Linked DNA regions of Arabidopsis thaliana. The protein of the gene in region 2 interacts with the protein of the main gene of each other region in a pairwise test. Each region holds a gene or a part of one and is shown on either strand. Other genes may lie near its edges.

Region 1 (5,478 bases), on a different chromosome or scaffold from region 2:
ACAACCATATCGAAGGAAAACGCCGACGGGAGGTAGAAGAATCGCCAGAATAATTTCCAAGAAAGTTTCTGATCCCATTTTTGATGTTTTGGAGAAGAAGAGAAACAGAAACAGAAACAAGAAAGAGAGGTTTTGTGGACAGAAGGGAAGTGGTGTGAAAGTTTGGTCAAGAAGTAAAAGAAGTGGTGTTTGACACGTGTACTGCTTGCAGTGTATCACGTGACACGTGGAGACGCTTTCGTAGCGATGAACACGTCAAACAAACTGCTTTACTTCAAAACTGCTTCCACTAATTCCACGGAAATCTCACAGATATTTTCAATTTCTCCTTTTTTGAGAGGCCAAGAAGATAACATTTTAATGTTTATGATTCGAATCTGTTTACTCCATCCCCTCTTTTCAAAGAATTTTTAGTTTTATTGTGAAAAGATTAATAATTTATCACTCACTAGATTTACATATTAAAATCGATATTGTGTAATAATTTACATAAACATTTTCAATAATTTCTAGAGTTTTACATTGACCTACTAAAAGTACATATAAGAAAAATGAAATTACAATCTTTGGTTATCTTCCAAAGTGAAACCTATACATTTTTTCTCCTAGTTGAGTAAAGGGAGAGTTAAAGGACATGACTCATGAGAAACTTAAATACAAAAAAAATGTGGAACAGAGAGGACAAAAACCTGCTCAAGAATGCTAATGCTAAGCAGTAAGCAGCCCATATACATATATCCACAAAGATTAAATTATACTTAAAAAGAGAAAAGAAAAAATAAGTGTTGGAAAAAATGGGGTCATTGAGGTTTTGTTTCTTCAACTCACCTTTAAACCCATTTTGCCAAAACCAGTGTCTTGCATCATATCCACAAACTCGCTGTAGTCTATTCTTCCATCCTGACAAAAACAATCATATAACATCATTATAAAGAACAATGTTCTTGCAAGTAACTATAGGTAAAGCATATCAATTGCATATTAATGAGTTGTTACGTTGTCTTTATCGACTTCGCGTAAAATGTCGTCTAAATGAACATCCGCTAAGCCAAATTGCTTGCAAGCTTGTTGGAGCTCGTCTCTGGTTATATAACCACTTCCATCTTGGTCAAAGTAAGAGAATGCTGTGAACAAATGGTCTTCTTTCTCTATTTTGTTCAAATGCACCATTGCTGCTATAAACTCTCCATAGTCTATTGTCCCACTGTTATCTATATCCGCCTGATCAAATGTTCATATTTTTCCAAATTATTATCTCACACATCTCACATCATATAGTAAACAAAAGGTGATTTCAGTATAAAAATGGACTTACTGCTTGCATTAATCCTAGTATTTCTGAATCTTTAAGGTCAGCACCAACTCTGTCCAAACCTTTCTTGAGTTCTTCGAGAGTGATGTGTCCACTATTATCTGTATCTATCATCTTGAACATTTCCTTCAATCCTGCTATTTCTTCCTCTGACAAGCTTTCTGCTATTACCTGAATCAAATACATCACGTATAACTCTCTATCTTGCACATAATTTGGTATAGATGATAGAAACCAATTCAAAATGTTTACCTTGATAGCTATTTTCTTGAGCTTGTTCATGGCTGAAAATTGTTGCAAACGACTTAGGACAGCAGAATCAAGAGGTTTATCAAGAGCAACACCATCTACTCTGGCCCATGGATGACCTAAAATATAAATTCAACATTTTACAAATCTTTATAGTACTTACTCTTATCAAAAAGATATAACTTATTTGGAAACAAGAACACTAACAGAGAACTTCATGAGTAGTCATTCGCTTCTTAGGGTCTCTGATTAGCATCCGACGGACCAAATCCTTGGCACTTTCTGATACACTAGGCCATGGTTCTGATATAAAATCAAGGTCACCTTTCAAAACCTGCTCAAAGATCCCCTGTTCCGTTTCTGACATATAAGCACAATCCAATCAGTCTCTTTATCACTTCAACATACCTGAAACAATGAATCAACAACTGTCTCTTACCATCCCAAAACGGAGGGACGCCACTTAGTAAAATGTAAATAATAACTCCGGCACTCCAAACATCACATTCATGACTATAATGTTTCCTTAAAACTTCTGGTGCCACATAATAAGGACTACCAACGACATCAGTGAATGTTTCTCCTGTAATCACCAACATATATAGTCAAGATCATATTGTATATGGGATCTGTTAAAAGTAGCATTGGGGACATATACTATACCTGGTTTAAAGAAAACAGAGAGGCCAAAATCAATAGTCTTGAGAGCAGCTTCTTCATCTCCACTAACAAATAAAAAATTCTCAGGCTTAAGATCACGGTGCATTACACCTAAAGAATGACAAGCTTCTATAACACCAACAATGATCCTAGCAAGCTCAGCAGCTTTTTTCTCAGTATAATGCCCTCTCTGTATAATCCTATCAAATAACTCTCCACCTGCACAAATCTCCATCACAACATGAACAGCTACTGCATCTTCATACGCACCAACGATCTGAATCACGTTTGGATGACCAGACAAATGATGCATTATCTGAATCTCTCTTCTCACATCTTCAACATCCTCAGGTGTTGTTAATTTCCTCTTAGCTATCGTTTTACAAGCGAACTCTTTACCTGTCTTCTTATCCACGCAAAGAAACGTTGTTCCAAATTGTCCTTGACCTAATTTTCTCCCAACACTGTATATATCTTTGAGATTCTCTGTTTTTCTCCCAAGAACTGAGTCTATTTGTAGACCTGCGCTTGCCATACGTTTCATGTGCGCTTCTTTCTTCTGCGGTTTCGAATTCGGATCTTCTTTGTTCTCTGTGATAGGTTTTGGTGGTGGTTCTTCGTTGGCCATTTTCACCGGAGGTGGTGGTGTGCTCGGTGTTGGCAACGTGGATGGTGCTGGATCCACGGTGGAGGAAACGTGACCGTTACTGTCGTCGCCATTAACGCTTTTATCGTTCTTTTTTCGACTGCTCTCGTCCTTGCTGCTCTTAATGCTATCGTCTGGTTTCTGATTCCGCCACACGGCAGCACTAACGGATTGAAGGAATCCATTAGGGTTCAGATTCGGACCCACGCATGTGTTTCCCATTCAAAAAATTTAACCTAAAATCACAAAACCTAATTTTGCTTCTTTTTTTTTCTTCTCTCTGTTTGAGATTATCTATTACTTCTCCGACAATGAAAACACGAACCACTCATTAGCGTCATCAACGTGAATGATGAATCCATATAGAATATTGCCGTGTCTTCAAAATCGACACAGCTCGGTGAAAACCTGAGATAATGAATTGACCACCTAAGTCGCTCGCAAGCAACCTTGTTCTGCACGTTTTCCGGATACAAAATGGTCGAGAAACGTCTTGGAATTGTAAAATGTGGCTAAATGATTTGATTCGGAGAAGATCTGATGAGCTGATGATCAGAGGAGGGGAAGAAGGAACGAGAGAGAACAAGGAAAGGACTATGCCATTGCCGTCCATTTTTACGAGAAAATATGGAAAGTTTTTTTACAGAGCCCAATTTTAGACTAGGACTCACTTTTATCAAAAACAATTTCTTTTTGTCTTTTAATTTTTAACAATTAATTAATTTTTTTGAAAAAATATATAACGTTGAGTGATTATATTGTAGGGAATTAACTGCGAAGGATTTAGTTAATAAATATTTTGATTGAAGAAAATATACAATAAGAAGAAATTTTGTTTATCTAAAGTAAAATTCTGAAACTTGTGATGTATATAGACATGAACTGATGAACGTGTGTAATCTATTGACTTGTCTTTTAAACAATTAATAAGGAACAACATCCAATAACATCTTAAACAACACAAAAAAGTATTTAAACACAACTCGATTTATGTCTCACCAAAGAAAAAAAATAAAATAAACCTCTCCTAATTATGATTCTCTCTCGAATCTGTAATGTCTCGGGCACGGCAGAAACAAATAAAAGTAATATATCTTTTTTTTTGTCATCACCTTTTGTTTAGATGAAGTTAATAATTGAACTTGAAGAGATACACCATTAATAACCGATCATATGCTTCGTCTGTTCATTCCAAAACATCTTCGACTGCTTCACCATCTCAGACCGTTCATTCATCATCCTCTCCTTCCAATATTCTTTGCTTCTACAAAAAAATATATTATGCTTTCATCATATGACATTAATAATTCTTGCAATATAAATACAGTTTGAACAATATATACCACCCCAAGAATATATTCAGATGTTTATGAAAGGCTCACTCATAACGACTTCAAAACTTAAAAAAAAAATTAAGAACAAAAATTCGATCGCAACTTCATTTTCTAGTTACTTAACGAATGAAAACACCATCTTGCTATATGAATGATAATAATCATCAGTTCAAATTTTATGGACACATCTATACTGATTTGGTGCAATCTAAAATTTGAGACTTGTCTTACCGTGTCTTTAAAAGAAGATGCAGCTCGATCATGTGAACTGCTTCCGCGTAAACTCCAGCCTGATACCGCAAGGAATAAATCAAGATTGACCTCATTATAGATATTGGAAACAAAAGTTGAGAGAAGAACACGTTTAATGTTGCAAGAATCTAAACAAACCTCTCTGCAGATGGGACATTTTGAATGTCGGGGCGCTGCTTTAATGCCTTGGAAAATCAATACAGAAGCAGCCGAGCATGCACACGAGTTACAAAATATGTGACCGCACTTTAAAGCATAGGGATTGAATACCGTTTCCTGCCCAAATTTATCCACAACAAATTACTATTTTCACCTCCAGATATGCAAACTACATTTTATTTGTGAAAAAATGCAAAGAGATTTTTTATTACGAGGCAGATTGCACAAGTTAGATCATACTCCAGCTCTATTGAGTTAGGCAGCATGAGTTTTAGCACTGGTTGATCTTCGTTGAGATTTTCACAAGCGACACGGCCAAACGAATTCTTGAAGTTTCCAACATTATCTAGCCCAGAGTTGAGATAAAAGGCTCCAAGTTCTATGAGCCATGGTGAGTGCAAGAGCTCTATGCGCTCCGCTCGCATTTTCAACTTGAAATTCTTCCCATTCTCTGAGCTATGCACCTGAAAGCATTTTTAAGCAGTTTACTTTCTCACAACAAATGAAGTCACATCTTCTTATTTTAAAATGAATTATTATCTTTGCCATAATCTCTAACCTTGTCATATTTCTTGAGGATTTTACGGATAGCAATTGCATTCATGGTGATGTATTGAATCAAGATTTGGCCCTCTTGGACTAAAGCTTGTTTTTCGTCAGTGAAGCATCTGCGTAGGCGAATCATGTATCTCTGCATCCCAGTGGCTACATGAAGATGGAGAAGATGCCTCACTCTTGACCTGAAAAATCCCGCTATGTCAGTAGCTTCTTTCATCAGCTCCTCGAAGAACATCTGATCACACCCTGCATTGTAATTAACATCATCTTTTACATCAACCACCTAATCTCAAATAATTAAACAAAAA
Region 2 (7,027 bases):
GTACAGGAGCTAGAGATTTTTGAAGATTTTGTCTCTTTTGCTTTGAGAATTTAGATTTGTTCCTAGGACAATGTGGAATTCTACTGCTAGTTTGTTGCTGAGTTCAAGCTCTGATTCTTATGCCTTTTGTTCTTGAGGTTCTTGATTTCTGTTTCTGTAATCTGTTTATGTTAAAATTGAGAGTTTCCAATATATCTCAAGTTCTTATGTCAAATCGTTATGATGAGAACTTCAATAGCTTAGCTGATCTTATCAGAACTTTTCGCGAGTATGAATTCGGTAGCTACTGGTTTGGTGATGATTTTGCTGGCCCTTTTGTACTATGTAGGCTTGAGTACTAGTGCTGTCTAGCTTGGTATTATGCCATTTGATTCTCTACCTTCTTGATTTATCGATATGGCGGTGTCGATTAAGTTCCCGAAATAGAAATGATTATGTGATACTGAAGCTCTTAGAGGGCTTAGCTGATAGTAGAACCAACATGATCGCGTATCATAATTCTGATGCTATTTATACAGTGATAACCCCTCAAAACTTTTTATTTATTGGAACAAAACAAGTATACATGCTCTTTGAAGTATTATGATAACTGCTAACAGTTCTGGTTTAAGAGATACTGGGTCGTTTGGATTGGTTCACCATTGTAGACAACCCCTCCCGTTTACTTAATACTGCTTTAAACACATGATCATTAGAACCACAGCAACAATTACGTTACTAGGTTCCTCACTTGTGTCAGAGACACTGACAACAAACCAAAACCAAAACTTCGGATACGACTCTGTATTAGGGGTTATGAAAACTTTTTTCGTGATTCTCCAATTTATGATGAATCACTCTCTTGAGTTTTGCCGTTGCAAGCTTCTACATCATTACTCTGACTGCTGTCGGAGTCTGTGAATTTCAAGTAGTTCTCGATGTTCTCTGAGCTTACGTTTCTCAGTTGGTCAAGCCACCGGTGTTGGCTATTCTGTTTGGGTCTCGGACGGTTGCTGATGGCTATGGCGAGGTCATTGGGAAAAAGATCTCGGAGGACAAAGGCGTGGATAATGGTGGTCACGAGCAGTGCGAACACGACTAACGTTGCAATGGCACATAGGACCACACACATGATTTGAGTCATAGTGCTCTTAACCACTGTTGCGTACCTGATGGTAGCAATTGCAGCTCCGGTCATCGGAAAGGTGTACGCCCACCAGGACAGCGAAAATCTATGAGAAAAAAAAGTGTGAGAAAGTTGAGCTAGCGAATAACTAAAAATCAAACAGTAATAAAAGTAATTTTCTTAATCTTACTTGATTCCCCTGAAGAAATTGATCCGAACAGCCTATAAATCAAAGAAAGGGAAAATTTGTATTAGTAAATACTTTTCTGAAGAAGGAATATATATACAGCTAAGTTATATGTAAAACGTACCAATGAGAAATAGAGGAAAATGGCGATAAAGTAACAAACTTTGGAGCCATAATCGAAGGAGCCAGTGACCTTAGCCCAAGCCATGGAAGCAACACTTGGAGCCGCAACGAAGAGGAAGAAGACAGGATGAAGATCTTTAGGCAAAGTCTCGTTGGTCGGTAGCCTTTGGTAGAGAGTCACGAACAGAACCAAGTAATGAGCCATCCCAACAGCATAGAAGAATATAGGGCCTTCTCTAAGCCCCATGGACGCACCAAGCAAGGCCCCAACAAAGTTCCCAACGACCGAGAGATGGTTGGTCGGGTTGGCGACCCGGGAGAGCCGTCGTTGACCACCGGACATCCACTGACCGTAGATCTTAAGCTCAAGACAGATGAATGGAAACATGAGGAGGTACCAAAGGAAATGCGGCAAATCTGTAATTATGGAAGGTGGGACACCGAGGGCAAGGAAGAGTAAAGAAATGAAAGGAGCAAAGAAGAAGTTGATTCTGATTGGATGGTAGTATTCGCGGCGTACGGCTTCGAAGAAAAGGATGATCTTGAGGAGGTAGATGGTGGCGATAGTGAGGATCAAAGCCACTGAAATGAACCATAGACCCTGGTTGATCCAGAGGGGTACGTGGAGGAACTTGGTTGGCTCTGCAGTGGCTAGGGTTTTCCACATTATGGCTTGGCTGCTCACTCCTAGGCACATACCGAAGGTGGAAATGGGGTAACGGAGAAGAAACGGCCACTTTTTATCATTTGGTAGAACGATCTCTTCTTGAGGCTGCGACGTAGGAAAAACAAAAGAGAGTTATAATTGAAACATGTCACTCGTTAATAAAAGAGAGTTATAAAACGTGTCACTTCTGACTTCTAGTAATGATATATTTTCGCAAAAAGGTCATTAAAACAATTTACCACATGAATGCAATTCAAATGTAAAAGATACAAAAAAAACGTAGGTACGTACCCGTAGGGTCTCTAATTCAGGACCTTCTAAGGCGTCATAGTAACGGTCCACAGGCATGGCTTCATTGGTATTCAAATTTTGGTTATTCCGGTTTGGTGCCTCCGGTTCAACAGAAGCTGGTTTTCTTGTGAATTGTCTCTCAAGTTTCCCCGACCAAGTCTTGAACGAGTTGTACCTGTTGTCTTTAAGCTTGTTCGCAGCCTGATTTTGATTTTGATGATGACCACTCTGATGTTGTCGATGAAGATGATGATGATGATTATCATGGCTTTGACGACGATCATCATCACCATTACCGCTTTCTATGTAGAGAGATGAGACTTTGGTCATCGGCTGAGAGAGAAACTTGACGGATTTGCCAGTCGACCCACTGTTCTTGTGGTTTTCGGAAGACAAAGATGTTGTCGGGTCGGAGATCATGAGAACATTTGGTGAAGTTGGCATTGAAATTGATGGTTTTCTTTGATGAGTCCATGGTGTTGTCTCATTGTAGTTATGATGATGAGCTTCCATTGTGTCTATTGATCTTGATGTTTCTTGACCATTCTGTACATATAAATATATGTAACATAATTGTCTCGGAATTAGTTATATAATAAGTTTATAACCTAATTTTTGCGAGTGTGGAAAGTGATAAATAAAATATGTAACATACCAAAGTAGTCGTGGAGGCATGCGATGGATGAAAACGACTGATTGAGTGAGGAAAAGGATGACCATTCTCTTTGTAATTGTCAAAGCCAACCATTTCTTCTGTTGTGGCTTTTCTCAGTAAAGTTGGAAGCTCTTCTTCTACTTGTATCACATAGTTTGGTTTCTCCTCCATTTTTTTCTTCTTTTTAATTTCCTCTGTAACATCCAAATTGTTTACGTATTAATTGACACCTATAAAATTGAATTTTCTTTTTAATCTATAGTTAATTAATATTCTAACTTGACTTGTATCATTGATTCATCATTAACACAAAAGATTGATGAGTATAGCCCTTGAAGTCAATATATAATTTTTTTAGATTGTTGAAAGCATATGCGAAGGAAAACAAAATATATATTATTCACAGTAAAAGGACTTCTAGCGAGTTCTTGATTCATTAGAATTTTACCTATTCCCTTCGCAATTGCTCTATAACATGGTTTGGAAAATGAATTTGGGATTTATATTTTCTAAAATCATAAACTAATAAAATCTAGTGGTTTAATTAGGCCGATAATTAAATAAATCTGACCTAAATTCTCCACATTTAAACATCATACCTAATATACATTTTGCAAAGTCTAGTGGTGTTGCCACTAAGCTGGTTTCCCAGCTGTATAGAATTAGACTATACTTAGTCACTTACCCTATATTTATTGGAAAATGATGCATGTTATCGGCTAGAAAGAAAAAAGAAGGCCACTATTGTTTGTTTATCCAAAACAATTGCACTTAAAACCTATAAATACTAGTGTGCATTTGGGCGCCTTTGAGAATTCTCCTCAAATCAAACAACAATCATAAATAGAAAAACAAGAAAGCACAAAGAATAGAATAAATACAGTTTTCTCTATTTTTTTCGTTTTCGAATTTTAAGCTTTCCTTTTGGTTTCTGACTTTGAGTGGAGTAAATTCTTTGAATATTTGTTTAAGAGAAACTATAATTTTAGAAAACCAACAAAACTGTAATTTTAGAACTGCATTAATAAACCCTTTATTGCGATGTTCCACGTCAATGATCAAAGCTAAACCAATCTAAAACATCGCTGTTTCAAAAAGTCGTAGGTAAAATCAAGACTCCCATAATTAGGAAATTAAATATATAAAAAGCTAACTAAATTGGTTTTAATTAACGAAACAAAAACTCCTATTAACAACAGAAATAAAATTATATATATATATATATATTTCTTTTTCCTTTCTTTTTGGCTGTACAAGAAAAAAACTTTAGAAGAAAAAAACAAAATAGCAAAAGATCTTAAATGGATGGTGTGGTGCTATGTGCCCATCAACTCATCGGGTCCACTTCAAAGTTATGGCTCGACCGGCCAACAACGCTTATGAATATTTACGCGTTTAAACGCTATTGTTCATGTTCCATCGCTTGTGAAAACCGGTTTGAACATATAAAAATCACATACATGTACTAGTATTAGTAAACCAGGAATCTTTGTAAATTTTACATCACATTGGTTCACAGCTAAATTGGCATTTGGGGTTTAGTAAGGTAATTTTTGGTTTCTGGAATCAATTTGGGTTTAAGAAAGAAAGAACGAGGAGAAAAAAAAAAGAAAAGAAAAATCAATTAATAAATTTATTAGTTCGTAATAAGAACCCTAAGGTCATATAAAAGAAAATCAAGAATCGCATGTAGCCTATGCATGTTCTCAAGAAAGGATTCACAAAAATGTTGTTTGTGATGTAATGAACTTTGTTAACTACGAATCCAAAAACAAAAAAATGGAGAAATGGAATAAAACACTAACCTGACGATTTTGAAATTTTGCAGCCGTAGAAATCAGAAATGGTGTTTAAAATCTACAGATCTTCTCTTATTCTTGTAGAGATAAGAATTGTGTTTTGGTAGGGAAAGAAGCGAAGACGAATTAGGAGAAAATAGAAAAAAAGCGAGTTGGTTTGGGCGAAAACAAAACACGTCTTTGTACTATAAATAAGTGTTCACGTAAGTACAGTTACGGAAACATGATAGTGTATGTATTTGTTAAATGTATAGCTGTAATTCAAAGCTTTCAACGTGGCCGTCTTCTTGTTGATCAACTAGTCATGGTTCACGTCATTGACAATCTCAAGTAATTTTTTGTTCTTTTTATTATTTTTTGTCACAATTATTTAGTTTTTTTAAGCATTGGTCAATAGGTGGTGGACCACATTATACGAAACGGCCAAAAAACAAGGAAATTTTTAAAATATATTTATGAAAATGAAGTTAATATGGTATTTAACAAAGGGAAAAAACCCAAAAAAGATCTCAATTAATTTTTATTTGGACGTTTAATACCCAATTATTTTTTGTTGGAAGATAAATACACGAAATAATAAAATCGTACAATTTAATACACAAATAATTAATTGTTGTTATTTTCATACTCACGATCTCACAACAAAAATAAAATTGCAATTTATCCTTACCATCTCAATTAACTATTTTTTTTTTGATAATATGATATTAATTTTATAATTTTGAATAAAAATTAATTTTATTAATATTTTAGTTTATGATAATATGATATTAATTTTTATTGTGAGATCGTGAGTATGAAAATAACAACAATTACTTGTTTGTGTATTAAATTGCACGGTTTTATTACTTCGTGTATTTACTTTCCAACCAAAAACAATTGGGTATTAAACGTCCAAATAAAAATTAGTTGAAGTTTTTTTTGGGTTTTTTAACATTTAACAAATGCATAAAATATTATTTTGCAAAAGAAAAATAAATAAATAACTTTGAGTCTTGGTTTGTTTGATAATTTTTCTAATTTTTTTTCTTTGTTAAATATAATTACATAAATGATAAGCTTTTAAATCTTTTCATAATAAATATAACGTTTTTTTTTATCATATAAATGATGAGCTTTTTTGTTATTTATTCGTTTTTTGTTAATGTTTTAGAAATATAGTCAAGTTTTACTGGAAGGAAGAACAATACAATATGTTTGTTTGGGAGTAAATTCAGCTACGAAGTATATTTACCAATTACAATGCGACAAATAGATTTTAGATCCGCATGCACTTTTTTATAAACAGTTCTCCATATCCGTGTCTATCAGACATCTCCAAAAATTACTTAAGTGCAAAAAAGATAATTTGCATCATGCCACATAGAAAAAAGTTGACAATGGAGATGGACATAGCATGCAAAGTTAGTCATTATTGCAGCAATTTAACCAGCATGGATGCTTTAGATGGCGTATTATTGGGAGGCTACTTGAACTGAACCTACAGAAATAATTCCTACATAAGACTGATATCGCAAAGCAATGTACTTTAAGTTTTGGACTTTGGTTATCCAGTATCCAAAAATCTAATTTTTCGTTTTCACAAGGTAATGTATTTATTCCTAGAAATATGGTTTTACAATTTTGTTTTTACCACCTTATTGTTTTTCTATTCATAAATTCAAAAAATTTCACGTCTATTTCTCTTATATGGATTCTATCTTTTCATAACGTTTAAATTTTTGGAATCTGAGTTGGCGATGTTTTTGATATCTGTTTTTTTTTTTTTTTTTTTGGCTCGGGTATATAATATAATTAAAAATCATTTGCCAACAAGTTATCTATAACAGAATTATGGGCTAATTAATTAGGTGTATAGCCAAATTGTGGGATGGAAAAATACAACAAAACTGTTTTTAAGGAATCGAGTACACAAAACGAGTAATCCGCATTTTTTGGGGTAAATTACACAAAGAAATAGGAAAGAGGAAGAAACCAAGTTGGTTCACAAAACTTCTTCGCATAGATTGTGTCGTTAGGTACGTTTTTGGTTGATTGTTTGAATTAGGATTTTAGCTGTCACCGAATTGATTTTTCTTTATTTGTCCAGTTATATGAATATATTATATCTTAGTGAGTTAATCATAAATATAATAGTTTTTGGTTCCTGTCTACATGCGCTGTACATGAGTTTTGTCTTTAGAGCGGACAAAACTTAGGT

What was found.
Region 1: the proteins of SLAH3 (region 2) and CPK20 interact in a protein complementation assay, tested with the Arabidopsis thaliana proteins (one study listed by BioGRID).

Annotation. Positions count from the first base shown.
Region 1 is NC_003071.7:16,244,395-16,249,872, forward strand, and holds CPK20 (calcium-dependent protein kinase 20), read right to left. Parts: upstream 3,462-5,478; 5' UTR 3,090-3,461; coding exon 2,225-3,089; intron 2,145-2,224; coding exon 2,001-2,144; intron 1,922-2,000; coding exon 1,769-1,921; intron 1,681-1,768; coding exon 1,565-1,680; intron 1,484-1,564; coding exon 1,316-1,483; intron 1,222-1,315; coding exon 997-1,221; intron 901-996; coding exon 820-900; 3' UTR 512-819; downstream 1-511. Other genes in the region: AT2G38905 (Low temperature and salt responsive protein family), read right to left, coding at 1-78; AT2G38920 (SPX (SYG1/Pho81/XPR1) domain-containing protein / zinc finger (C3HC4-type RING finger) protein-like protein), read right to left, coding at 4,026-4,131, 4,433-4,491, 4,592-4,729, 4,825-5,076, 5,172-5,416.
Region 2 is NC_003076.8:8,117,795-8,124,821, forward strand, and holds SLAH3 (SLAC1 homologue 3), read right to left. Parts: upstream 5,121-7,027; 5' UTR 4,834-5,120; intron 3,223-4,833; 5' UTR 3,200-3,222; coding exon 3,029-3,199; intron 2,920-3,028; coding exon 2,374-2,919; intron 2,188-2,373; coding exon 1,417-2,187; intron 1,328-1,416; coding exon 1,296-1,327; coding exon of another isoform or gene 1,292-1,295; exon of another isoform or gene 1,212-1,291; coding exon 824-1,211; 3' UTR 523-823; downstream 1-522. UniProt on the Arabidopsis thaliana protein: Slow, weak voltage-dependent S-type anion efflux channel involved in maintenance of anion homeostasis. Binds to the highly selective inward-rectifying potassium channel KAT1 and inhibits its activity.